Linked DNA regions of Cricetulus griseus. The protein of the gene in region 1 interacts with the protein of each later gene in a biochemical or structural test. Links are inferred from orthologs where the notes say so. Each region holds a gene or a part of one and is shown on either strand. Other genes may lie near its edges. The genes, in order: Hspb1, Cs and Mapkapk3.

The links.
Region 2: the proteins of Hspb1 (region 1) and Cs form a complex in vitro, tested with the Homo sapiens proteins (2 studies listed by BioGRID). The link is inferred for Cricetulus griseus from reciprocal best matches to the Homo sapiens genes HSPB1 and CS.
Region 3: of the proteins of Hspb1 (region 1) and Mapkapk3, one has a biochemical effect on the other in vitro, tested with the Homo sapiens proteins (2 studies listed by BioGRID and IntAct). The link is inferred for Cricetulus griseus from reciprocal best matches to the Homo sapiens genes HSPB1 and MAPKAPK3.

The regions. Positions count from the first base shown.
Region 1 is NC_048597.1:114,890,312-114,894,098, forward strand, and holds Hspb1 (heat shock protein beta-1), read left to right. Parts: upstream 1-1,546; 5' UTR 1,547-1,698; coding exon 1,699-2,086; intron 2,087-2,709; coding exon 2,710-2,773; intron 2,774-2,888; coding exon 2,889-3,078; 3' UTR 3,079-3,201; downstream 3,202-3,787. UniProt on the Homo sapiens protein: Small heat shock protein which functions as a molecular chaperone probably maintaining denatured proteins in a folding-competent state. Plays a role in stress resistance and actin organization.
Region 2 is NW_023276806.1:129,548,451-129,552,530, reverse strand, and holds the start of Cs (citrate synthase, mitochondrial), read left to right. Parts: upstream 1-1,186; 5' UTR 1,187-1,352; coding exon 1,353-1,394; intron 1,395-4,080. UniProt on the Homo sapiens protein: Key enzyme of the Krebs tricarboxylic acid cycle which catalyzes the synthesis of citrate from acetyl coenzyme A and oxaloacetate.
Region 3 is NC_048597.1:215,440,747-215,444,390, reverse strand, and holds part of Mapkapk3 (MAP kinase-activated protein kinase 3), read left to right. Parts: intron 1-151; coding exon 152-216; intron 217-691; coding exon 692-771; intron 772-2,426; coding exon 2,427-2,550; intron 2,551-3,644. UniProt on the Homo sapiens protein: Stress-activated serine/threonine-protein kinase involved in cytokines production, endocytosis, cell migration, chromatin remodeling and transcriptional regulation.

The DNA.
Region 1 (3,787 bases):
CAGCTGTTTAATGTCTCACTACACAGTGTGTGGTATGTGTGGCAGATGTTTAGGATTCCAGTCCTTCACAGGAATAAACAGGACTTAAGGTCATCCTTGGCTACGGAGAGAATCCCAGGCTAGCCTGGGCTACATGAGACCCACTCTCAAAAACAAAAACCAAGAGGCTGGGAAGATGCCAAAATGGATAAAGAGCTGACTGTGCAAGCGTGGGGACTGAGTTTGGGTCCACAGTGTATAAACTGAGGACATGACAGCTCCAAGGTATGGTTGAAGGGAAGGTTTGTTTTTATTGTAGTTATGAGGAAGAGAACAGCCAGAAGCATCTGGAAGAGTCCAGAGCAGAGAGAGAAAGTAGTAGACTGAACATGACCAGCAAATTGGGGTGGGGGAGGTGAGAGAGGAAAGCAAAAAGAGTGGGGGCAAAGGAGACTAAGAGAGAGGGGGTCAAGAGAGAAAGAGAAAACAGGGAGAGGACCAGGAGAAGGCACAGGTGGAATAGGAGGGTTATAGGGCAATGGGAAGCTGGGGCGAGAAGCCCACTAACTGGAGAACTTTAGGGTAGAGGGTGAGATGAGAAGAGCCAGCATTCCCTAACAGGTACTTGTGATGTTGCATGAGCCTGGAGGCCAGCAAGCCGCTTTGGGATGCTAATAGGCACGACAGATAGCTCTTTGTTCCGAGTTTCTTTTGTACCGGACACACAGCACTTATATAAAAGCTGAATCTGGCTAGTCATAGCGGGGCACGCCTTTAATCCCAGCAGAGGCAGGCAGATCTCTGAATTTGAGACCAGCCTAGTCTACAGAGTGAGTTCCAGGACAGTCAGGACTACACAAAGAAACCCTGTGTTTGGGGGAGGGGGCTGAGTGTGGCCACCTGTGCGGCTAATTCCTGTGCTGAGCTGGAAGGGTGGGGCAATTACAGAGACAGGAGGGCAGTATGGGGCTCCAGTATGCCCAGCCAGTTTGCAAGCTCCAGAGTCAATAAAAGACCCTGTGAAGGAAGGAAAGAAGGAAAGAAGGAAGGAAGGAAGGAAGGAAGGAAGGAAGGAAGGAAGGAGAAAGAAAGAAAGAAAGAAAGAAAGAAAGAAAGAAAGAAAGAAAGAAAGAAAGAAAGAAAGAAAGAAAAATCTATCAGGGCCAGATAGTTCAGTGGACGAAGGCACCTGCCACCAAGCCTTTGCTCCCCAGGATACACATGGTAGGAGAGAGCTGACTGTTGCTGGTAGCCCTGAGACCTCCACAGGTGTGCATGGCATGTGTGTGTCTACACAGGCGTCCCTCTGGTTCAGACCAGACTCAGTTGTTTCCCAGTTGGACACAAAGGACCTAACTTCCAACCGTAGTCTCAAAAGAAGGATGGGACAGGGCCGCAGGCCACCGCCCTTCAGCCCAGGCAGTGAATGCCCGACAGTGGGAACAGCTCCAGCTACCGGTATTACAGTCATTTGTTTTCTTCAACTAGAGAAGTTTCCAGATGGGGGCAGAACCTTCCTGGCCCCGCCTGCCTGTCCCCTTTGTAAGCTTAGGGGGAGGAATGCAGCGGGGAGGGCCGGCCCCTAGACGGTCATTGCCATTAATAGAGACCTGAAGCACCGCCTGCTAAAAATACCCGGCTGGACACCCATAAAAGCACGGCCGGGGCTCCAGTTCGGCACTTCTCGGATCATCTGCCCTGACCCGCACAGCCAAGAACATGACCGAGCGCCGCGTGCCCTTCTCGCTGCTGCGGAGCCCCAGCTGGGAACCATTCCGGGACTGGTACCCGGCCCACAGCCGCCTCTTCGACCAAGCCTTCGGGGTGCCCCGCTTGCCGGATGAGTGGTCGCAGTGGTTCAGCGCCGCTGGTTGGCCCGGCTACGTGCGCCCACTGCCCGCCGCGACCGCCGAGGGACCCGCGGCGGTGGCCCTGGCCGCGCCCCTGGCCGCGCCCGCCTTCCACCGTGCGCTCAACCGGCAGCTGAGCAGCGGAGTCTCGGAGATCCGGCAGACGGCCGATCGCTGGCGCGTGTCCCTGGACGTCAACCACTTCGCTCCGGAGGAGCTCACGGTCAAGACCAAGGAAGGCGTGGTGGAGATCACCGGTGAGTCCCCCTTGTCCCCACAGGGAGAAGCCAGCGGGCTGAGCGCCCCGGTGGCTGTACCGGGTGGGCGGGGGGAGGGTGTGAAGCCAAGAGGGATGGGAGCCTGGAAAGCTAGAAAGGAGCTCCGAGACCGGGAGGCCAGTGTCGTTCTCCCTGGCCAGCTTCCCTTGCTGCGGAACCCGGGCGCAGGCTGCGCCTAAGAGCCTGTCATCCTCGCTGATAAGGACCAACAGCTGGGGGTATAGCTCAGGGCAGAGCCTGGCCTGGCCTACGGGAAGCCCCGGGTTCTACGCACAGCAACGCACCCTCTGGAAGACCCCATTCCCAAATAAGGAAGTGCCAGGACTCCTGCCAGTGTCCCCGGTCCCAGCCACGGAGGGGGCCGGCACACAGCTCTGAGTGCGCCTGCGCTGGTGTCCAGCCTGGATCAGAGCCAAGCCCAGTATCCCAAATCCCAGAAACGAACTTTCTGGAAAGTTTTAAGATGACTCCAGGGAGTCAGGCATCTCACCGCACTCTCGTGTGTGTGCTGCCTTGGAGTCCCAGCCACTCCTTAGCAGGTGGTGGGGTCTGCTACCACACAGCAGAGGCTTGTCTCTGACCTCCTTCTGTCCCACCCGCAGGCAAGCACGAAGAAAGGCAGGACGAACATGGCTACATCTCCCGGTGCTTTACCCGGAAATACACGTGAGTTCTGGTTCCTTGCGTGGCTGGGTGGAGGAAAGCGGACCCAGGGAGGAGAACAGAGGGGCCGGGATCTGGAGGGATGTGTAACCCTTGTCCTGTTTTTCTTCTTGTCCAGGCTGCCTCCCGGTGTGGACCCCACCCTGGTGTCCTCTTCCCTGTCCCCTGAGGGCACACTTACCGTGGAGGCTCCGCTGCCCAAAACAGCCACACAATCCGCGGAGATCACCATTCCGGTCACTTTCGAGGCCCGCGCCCAAATTGGGGGCCAGGAAGCTGGGAAGTCGGAACAGTCTGGAGCCAAGTAGAAGCCATCAGCCTGCTGCATCCCCAACAGCCATCACTCGCCACCCCTCTCTATCAGTCTTTATGCTCTTTTGATACATGTACTTTCTGTTTTTCTCAAATAAAAGTTGGAAGCTACTGCTTGCCACCGTCTCAGACCCCGGTGTTTCTGGCGGGCTAGGGATGAGTGCTCCTTTGGTGTCTTTGCGATGGGCTCAGCCCCTTCTTGGGTTCAGCCTAACATTTCCCTAGGAAGAAGGAAAAAAATGATAATCTGGAGATTAAAATTTTACCAGGGTGGGGCTGGGCATGATGGTGCATGCCTGTAATTCCAGCACCCAGAAGCTGATGCAGGAGCATGGTGAATTTGAAGCCAGCCTGGACTACAGAGTGAGTTCCAGGAGTGCCCGGGCCACATACTTGTTGTCTCCAAAACAAAACAAAAAACAGGAGCTGGGGATGTAGTTCACAAGAGTGATTGTATGGCATGAGGCACTGTTTGACACCGCCCCCCACCCCCGCCCCAGCTTGCACACACACATCCAAAAGCATGGTAACGCATACCTGTAAGTCCAGCATTACAGAGGATCAGAAGTTTAAGGTTATCCTTGGCTATATAGCCAGTTTGAGGTCAGCATGGGACACATGAAAACTATGTCTCAAAAGGAAATTAATGGGGAATTGGAGAGATGGCTCAGAGGTTAAGAGCAGTAGCTGCTCTTCCACAGGCCC
Region 2 (4,080 bases), on another chromosome or scaffold:
AGGATGTGGTTTCTCTAGATAAGATTTTCTCCGAAGAACTACCTGATTCCTGGGCCAGAACACTGCTGGGCAGATATGAACCGCTTTTGAGAGAACTTGGGGGGAGTGAGGGTTTTCTTTCTCTTTTTCCAAGTCTAAGCCACAAACTATATCCTCTACAAAAAAGGACTATTAGCTTACATGGATACTGAGACCTCTGCACTTTGTTACTGCCGCGTGGGAAGATTGATAAGGTGGCCTGATCCTTGGGTCATTTTCTCTCCACCCTTACGCCAATTGCAATGATAGGCTTAGGTGCTCTACGCAGTGATGTGTAAGATCATCTTAAATTCTTGTGTCATTTAGCGCCATGGTTTCTGGTGGAGCAGAGGATGAGAGAGATAGCCAAGTAGGAGAAGTGTCCTGGAGTCCTTTGGAAATACTGTGAACGACGTCACAAAAACCAGGGAGTGTCTAATGCCTGGAGGGTATATCTGCACCCTCTTGCTAAATGTGAGGTGGGCTGGCTCTATGGGGTTATATCAAGAATGACAGTGTATGCCCAGGACCCAAAGACTGAGAGATTCAGGGGCCTTCACGTTAAGAGGGCCTTTGTAAGACTTAACATTCCCTACAGTTTACAGACAGCACTAGATACTCAGGCGCCTGTTTTGGCTCTTCTCCACATAGTGGGGTCAGTATCTATACTAGCAGGGTTTCTGATGATCTTCGTCAAACAGCCAACTTTGGCATCATATGCTGCTTTCCACATGATGTCAACTGCACGGCAGTGAAGTCATTAACCAAAGACATCCTTTAAGGAAGCACGCCAAGCCGGTTGCGGGGGGTGGGGGTGGGGGGGGCTCCACGATCAGTGGTGCTGAGGTACTGTGACCTTCAAGAGTCGCGTGCTGGAACTGTATCTTTCCTGCTCTCCGGAGAAGCAGAAAGCGTTAAGGGCAAAGGCAAGAGCCAAAGAAGGAAGTTAACTGAGTTCTCAGGCACATCCTAAGGCACCTACGGTCCCCTCTCCGCCCACTTCAAATTAGCCTAATCCGCAGGGTCCAATCCTCCCCCGCCCTAACATCTGTCAAGGGCACAAGTCCCGCCCCTCTTCAGCCCTGGGCCAATGGCCGCGCCCGAGGCTTGTCCCAGGAGAGGGGCGGGCTCGGGTTTCGGCCAGGGGGCGGGGCCTCGCTGAGGACCCTGGGCTGGGCGCCTCTGCCGGTTTGTCTCCCCTCCCTCCTCCGCCTCCTTTCAACCTTGTCCGCCGGTTGGCGCGGTCTCCGTTACAGCGGCGGCCGCTGCGGTTCCAGCTGTAGGTTCTCGCTCCCCGCGCTCCCTTCCCGCCAGGTTCCGGAGTTGGTCCCGCCATGGCTCTTCTCACTGCTGCAGCCCGGCTCTTGGGAGCCAAGGTGAGCGACCAAAGCAGGGGAGCGGCGTCGTCGCGGGGTGGGGCCGAGGCGACCGCAGGCCCTCCGGCACCGAGCCGCCCGCCCGCCCGCCCCGACGCGCAGCCCTCCGCGCCTTAAAGGGGCCCGGCGCCTGGCCGGCCGCCAGCCAGCCCTTCCTGCATCTCCTAGGCCATGTGCCGCGCTGCCCTTCCTTCCGGCGCTAAGGTGAACGCTGCCGGCGCCGGCCGGCCAGCCTGCGTGCGGTCCTTGGCGGCCCGGGGCCCCCGGAGCTCCGGCCTGACTGTCACAGCATCTTTCCGTGGTGCAAGTGAGGGAGGGATGCATGGCCCGGGCAGAAGGGCCGGAGGAGAGGAGAGGTGTGGCGTGCCGTGTCGCCGTAGTTAGGGGAAGAATTGTTTGCAGGGGCACCGGGGGCGGTGAGCAGATGTGCTGCTCACTTTGTCACTGGGCCAGAGCTGGAGCCCGGGCTGGTTTGGGCTCTGCATTGTAGGGTGAGTCCTGTCAGGACCTGTTTCTCGTAATTGTAGCCTCTTGAGTGACCCGGCCGGGTCAGTTTGGGGAGAGGAGTAGACCCCCCCTCACCCCCCAGCTCCTCTTTGTCCTTGGGACGCTTTCACTTAACTGTATATAGGAGGAGCTTGGATAGGGTGGGGCATTTCTGTTAAACCTGCTGATAGAATATCGCCTATGACTCCAGCGAGAACCAGAAAGGTTGTTCCACCAAGCTGCAGGCCAATAAATGAAGACAGGCAAGAGGAGTAACACCATCCGGGGTCACATGACTGAATCTACTAAACTTATGCGGGTTTTAGCTGTTTTCTTAAGTCTCCTCTAAGAGGAGTACTTCCTCTTATTCCCTAAGGCCCTTTAACTTGGATTATTATTATTATTATTATTATTATTATTATTATTATTATTATTATTATTATTTTTGCCTTTCTCACTACTTTGGGTTCTGCATAGCTCGGCCCTTTAAACAGGGATCCAGTTGTGCTGAGGGAATCTCAGCCTTCTAATCCAAGTGGGGACAATGCCACATACGACCTTGGCTGCTGTAAAAAACTGAGGATTTTTTTTTCTTCAGCAGATAGCTGGTCATGCTTGGAGGGAGGAAAAGACTGAGAATGGTTTTGACTGGCTGTATGTGATGCATAGTTGTCAGACTTACCACAAAACCCATAGGGTTTATCTTGGGGTTCGTTTGAGCACCCAGAAACAAGGTAGATATTGCTTATTTGGTAGACACTTGTCTGTCTTGGCTGTTGCTGCTCCTGCTGCCAGGGAACTGGGTAAGGACTCCTCTTGGGAAATGAAGCAAGTTCCAAACAGTGTATTGGCAGAATAGTGAACCTATAATTAGAACATTTCGGAGCTGCTAACCCAGACCAGATAGTCTAACACAACTGAACTTGAAAGGCCTTTGGATTTACCTTTTGAGTTTGTCTTGCCTGTGAAAGCCCTAGGAAATCTCTAGAGTGTTTTGGGGAATGACTGGGCTGCCATTCTGGAAACCTTAGAAGTCTCTTGGACTCAATTGGTCAAGTACTTGCTTGGCATGCCTGGATCTCTGTTTGCCTCTCATTGAGTGTGATGGTAACATACCTGCCACCCCAGCACTTGGAGACAGTAGCTGTATAGTGAGTTTGAGACCATCCTAAGCTACGTGATACCCTGTCTCCAAGAAAAGGGGTAAGGTTTACTCTTTTTGGTTTTTCGAGACAGGGGTTTCTCTGTGTAGCTTTGGAGGCTGTCCTGGCACTCGCACTGGAGACCAGGCCTTGAACTCACAGAGGTCTGCCTGCCTCTGCCTCCCAAGTGCTGGGATTAAAGGCATGCACCACCAATGCCCGGCTAAGGTTTACTCTTAATATTATCAAGGCCCTGAAGCAGAGCATGGTGGCTCTCTACTGTAAACAAACACAGGAGGATCATTAAGAATTCAAGGTCATCCTGGGCTGCATAGAGAGTGAGTTCCATTAAGCTTGAACTCCAAGGTTAAGTGCTTGCTGTGCAAGCCTAAGGACCTGAGTTCAAACTTTTCTTTGGGGCTGCCAACTCACCAAAAAAGAAAGAAAGAAAGAAAGAAAGAAAGAAAGAAAGAAAGAAAGAAAGAAAGAAAGAAAGAAAGAAAGCTGACACGAAGGCTTATTATTAATTATAAAAGCTCGGCCTATAGTTTAGGCTTGTCCCACTAGCTCTTATAACTTCACCCATATCTTTTAATCTGCATTCTTTGTGTGGCTCAGTTACCTTTACTCTGTATTGCCCATCTTGCTAACTCTCCATTTCGATGGCAACACCTCCTTCTTCCCAGAGCGCTCTCTGTCCAAAAGTCCCTGCTATATCTAGCTACTGGGCCGTTTAGCTTTTTATTAAATAAATCACAGTGACACCTTCACACAGTGTAAAAGAACATTCCACGACATAATCTCCACCCAAAAGCCATGTTCCATTACATGTGTCTATAACCCTCATAGGGCTGGTTTGTGGGGAAGAGTGGAGACAGAAGGGAACTAGGGGTCTAGGTTGCCAGTCAATCTAGCAGAAATGGATTTGAATGAGAGACTATTAAAAATATTAATAAGGTGAAGGCCAGTAGAGGAAGACACAAAGTTACTCTTTGACACACAACATGTATGTGTATACACAGACACACACACAGAGAGAAAACAGTAATGCATAAAGC
Region 3 (3,644 bases), about 100 Mb from region 1:
CACCTTTTCTTAGTTCCCAAAGTTCAGATCAACCCACCCAAGCTGACAGCCCACCATTTGCCAGGTTCTCCATGGTCCATGGGCCCCTGATCCAGGGCAGACCGAGTTGGTGACACCCAGTTCTCCCCCTTTCTGCCTTCTCTCTCTGCAGCATGGAAGGTGGTGAGCTGTTCAGCAGGATCCAGGAACGTGGTGACCAGGCTTTCACTGAGAGAGGTTTGTGTGGCCCTGGGACCAGTGAGGAGTTAGTGTTAGTGCGGGAAGGCTACACTAGAGTTGCTATGAGATACTGGGCAAGGCCTGCCCCTCGCTGAACCTCAAGATTCACATAAGAACTAAAGAGAATGTCCCACCCCCCTCTAGGGGTTTGTTCTTTGAATCTGTAACACTATAGATGGACTATCTATGGCTTGAGGTGGAGAACTCCGAGGCTTTTGGTGCTGACCCATGGCAGAACTATTATGAGGCAGTGTAGGCCTGAGGAAAGAGGCCTGGGTGGGCTCAGAACATTCTTGGAGTAAATTGGACTTGTTTGGGTGGATAGCTAGAACGAAAGACCTACCTAGGTTACAGGACTGCCATCTAGTGCTGGCCTGCCAGACCATGCTCAAGAGATTGTGGGCTGGGTGCCCCTCAGGTCACATGACTTTTTAAACAGGCCTTGTGTTCTCCTTCCTCTCTGTGCCTGTAGAGGCTGCAGAGATCATGAGGGACATTGGCACGGCCATCCAGTTCTTGCACAGCCAGAACATCGCCCACCGAGACGTCAAGGTGAGCTGCCAGAACTCAGCCTGGGAGACAGTGAAGGAGTCACTCACCCTGATGCTTCCAGCGCTTACTGAATTGAGGCTAAGTGCCTTGCCTCAGCTTCCCCACTCAGACTGCTCTCCTCTCCTCCCATGGCACAGCTCACTCAGTCTGCTCTTGCCAGATGGACCTCCTTGTTTTCGTCAAACACTGGGTAATCCCAATAGTAACGAGAATAACTGCCTACTTCCAGCCAGTGGGCCCCGACAAGCATGTCTTTTAATCCCCATCTGCGGCATGGGGCCATTACCCATTTCACAGACAAGCAAACTGAGGTTCTTTGAGAAATTAACCATCTTACCTTAAGCTGTGAAGTTGCTGTGTGGGGATTCATTGGTTCATTTGTTCACTTGCTCAGCAAGAAGTTTTATGACCATCAATGTGCCAGACCTTTGAGAGGGGCTGCCTTTTCGTGTCCGGGTCTTCTGTCAAGTCACAAAAAGAGTTTAAACAAATTAGGCTGCTAAACAACAGCATAGAAGCCATTTGCTGGCTATCGGAGGAAGGAATCCTGCTTGCCGTCCCAGTGAATGGGCTTGAAACATAGGAAGCACAGTGCTTCATATTTTCTTTTCTGGGAAAACCAAGGTCTCCCAGGAAATCTTACATATACATAGCTATATGCGTTTGTGTGTGAACCACTGTTAACACAGAATCTGTTCCTCCTCACCTTTGCTTGGTTTATTTCCTCCTAAGCCTGGACCTATGAGGCAAAAGGCTAGCTGATGTGCCTCTCCGATTGAGGACTGCCAGCCTATACAGTTACCCTTTGATTCAGGATACACACACAGCCAAAGCAGATCCACCTTCTAAATCTTTGCTTTATTTTAGCCCTCAAGTTCCCCTTTTCCTAAGGGAAGAAAAGCCTGCAGAGCAGGATATGCTAAACCGCTTCTCTGTTTGTTCCAATCCAAGGTCAGATCTTCTCAAACAGAACCTAAGAAATAGCTCCCACTGGATCCAAACTGGAGCACTGTTCTTCCCTCCTGAGTTTTGCTTGGGAATCATCCCTCCTGCTCCTTGGCATAGGGCCAAGATCCTACCTGTTCACTAACAGCCAGCTTCAGGGCTGCCTCCTCCATGGAGCCCTGCTGGCTGTTCCCATCTGCCAGGCCCATCTGTGCTTTGCAGCTAGGGAGATTTCTTCTGTGTAGCTCCTGAGGTCTGCGTTGGGGTGGTGGTGGTGGGGGCACCTGCTCCCCTGAGCTACCTCAAATGGGCCTAGCCTGCTGACTTTGTGGGCTTCCTTCTGGGTTGTGTGTGGGACATGTGCTTGGCAATCATGGCTCATGAGCTGTCTGCTTTCTAGTCTACTCCAGCGACTTTTCTGGCATTTCATGGTATTCACACCAACTCAGGAGCAGAAGTTTCTGCCTAGAGGGGTCTATGGCACCTGGTCATTCATGGTCTTGGCTGAACACCTGCCTCACCTTTCTCTCTGTGAATGAAGGCATCACCTCCAATCCACGTTGTTGGTGACCAAGGTCCAGATCTTCTTATAAAACAGTACTGGCTCATCATGTATTGGGATGGAGGCAGGGATTCAAGGTTACTTTGGGGCTCTGTCCCCTCCTGGTACCTTTGTCTATATCAATGCTTTCTTTCTCTTCTGGATGCAGCCTGAAAACCTACTCTACACATCCAAGGAGAAAGATGCTGTGCTTAAGCTCACCGATTTTGGCTTTGCCAAGGAAACCACCCAAAATGCCCTGCAGACACCCTGTTACACTCCCTATTATGTGGGTGAGTACTAATCAGGTGACTTGTATCCCCCTTGCTGTATACTGCGGTAGAATGGGTGGGGGCAGCCAATGGGTTGTGGGAACCAAAGAGTTAAAGCCTGATGAGGAGGGAGGAGGGAGCACTCTTGTCTGCATGGAGGCGGGTGACGTGGGGGGCCGGAGGCTGCAAAAATATTCTTCCAAACTTCAGCTTCTGCTTTTGAAAATAGATCCAGGAAAATTCTGGCTGTGGCCTGTGAGCTGAATGACATCACAGCAGCTCTAAATATATACGTGATAAAAGGCTGCCATCAGCTCGGGATGGAGCCCAACCGCGGTTGTTTTTCTCTGGTTTTCATCTTCATATTCAGAAAGTGGGCAGGCCTTTTCTCCTGCATTAGTGGGATACAGGGTACTAGTCACCTGCCTTGTGAGAAAGGGTCCCTTGAGCCCAGAATTAGGTGGGGCTTGGGGGTGTCCACACATGATTTCTGGGAAAATTCCAGGCAGCCTCTAAGATTGCCAAAGGTCCCTGTAACAATTGCCCCTTCCTGTGAGTAGGGCAATAACTGAAGCTTTTTCCCTTTAGAGAAGGCAGCTAAGGAGTAGGAAATGCCAGAAATGGCTCCCTGTTTACCGGGTTGTATTCTGCAGTTCTTTAATGTTAAGTCTGGCCTGCTGACCTCATTGCACTGATTGAAAGACCGAGGCCGATGGGTGGGTAGCCAAGATGATAGTAGAACACAGAAGTCTGATCTAGGCTGTGCATTCAAGGAGATGAGAGATACAACAGTGCAGCTGGCAGACTGAGACCCTCTTGTCAGTAGCAGGGCCTCACCAAACTTGGGGCTGGCCTTCTTCCCTCCTCTCTCTTATCAAGTTGAGACTGGCAGGGGGGCCCTAAGTTGCTAGGGGGCTGTCTGAAGGCAGTTTATTTTTTTCTGGGAGCTGTCTCTCCTCCCCCTACTTCACACACATGCTGCCTTCCCAGAAGGTGCCAGACGCCAGTCTGCTCTGCCCTACCTCCCAGCCTGGGTACCTGTTCCTCACCTTACCCAGGCTTAAGACTCCTTCCTAGTTCCCAGGACCCTTGGGGCTGAGAGATCTCCCATGCTC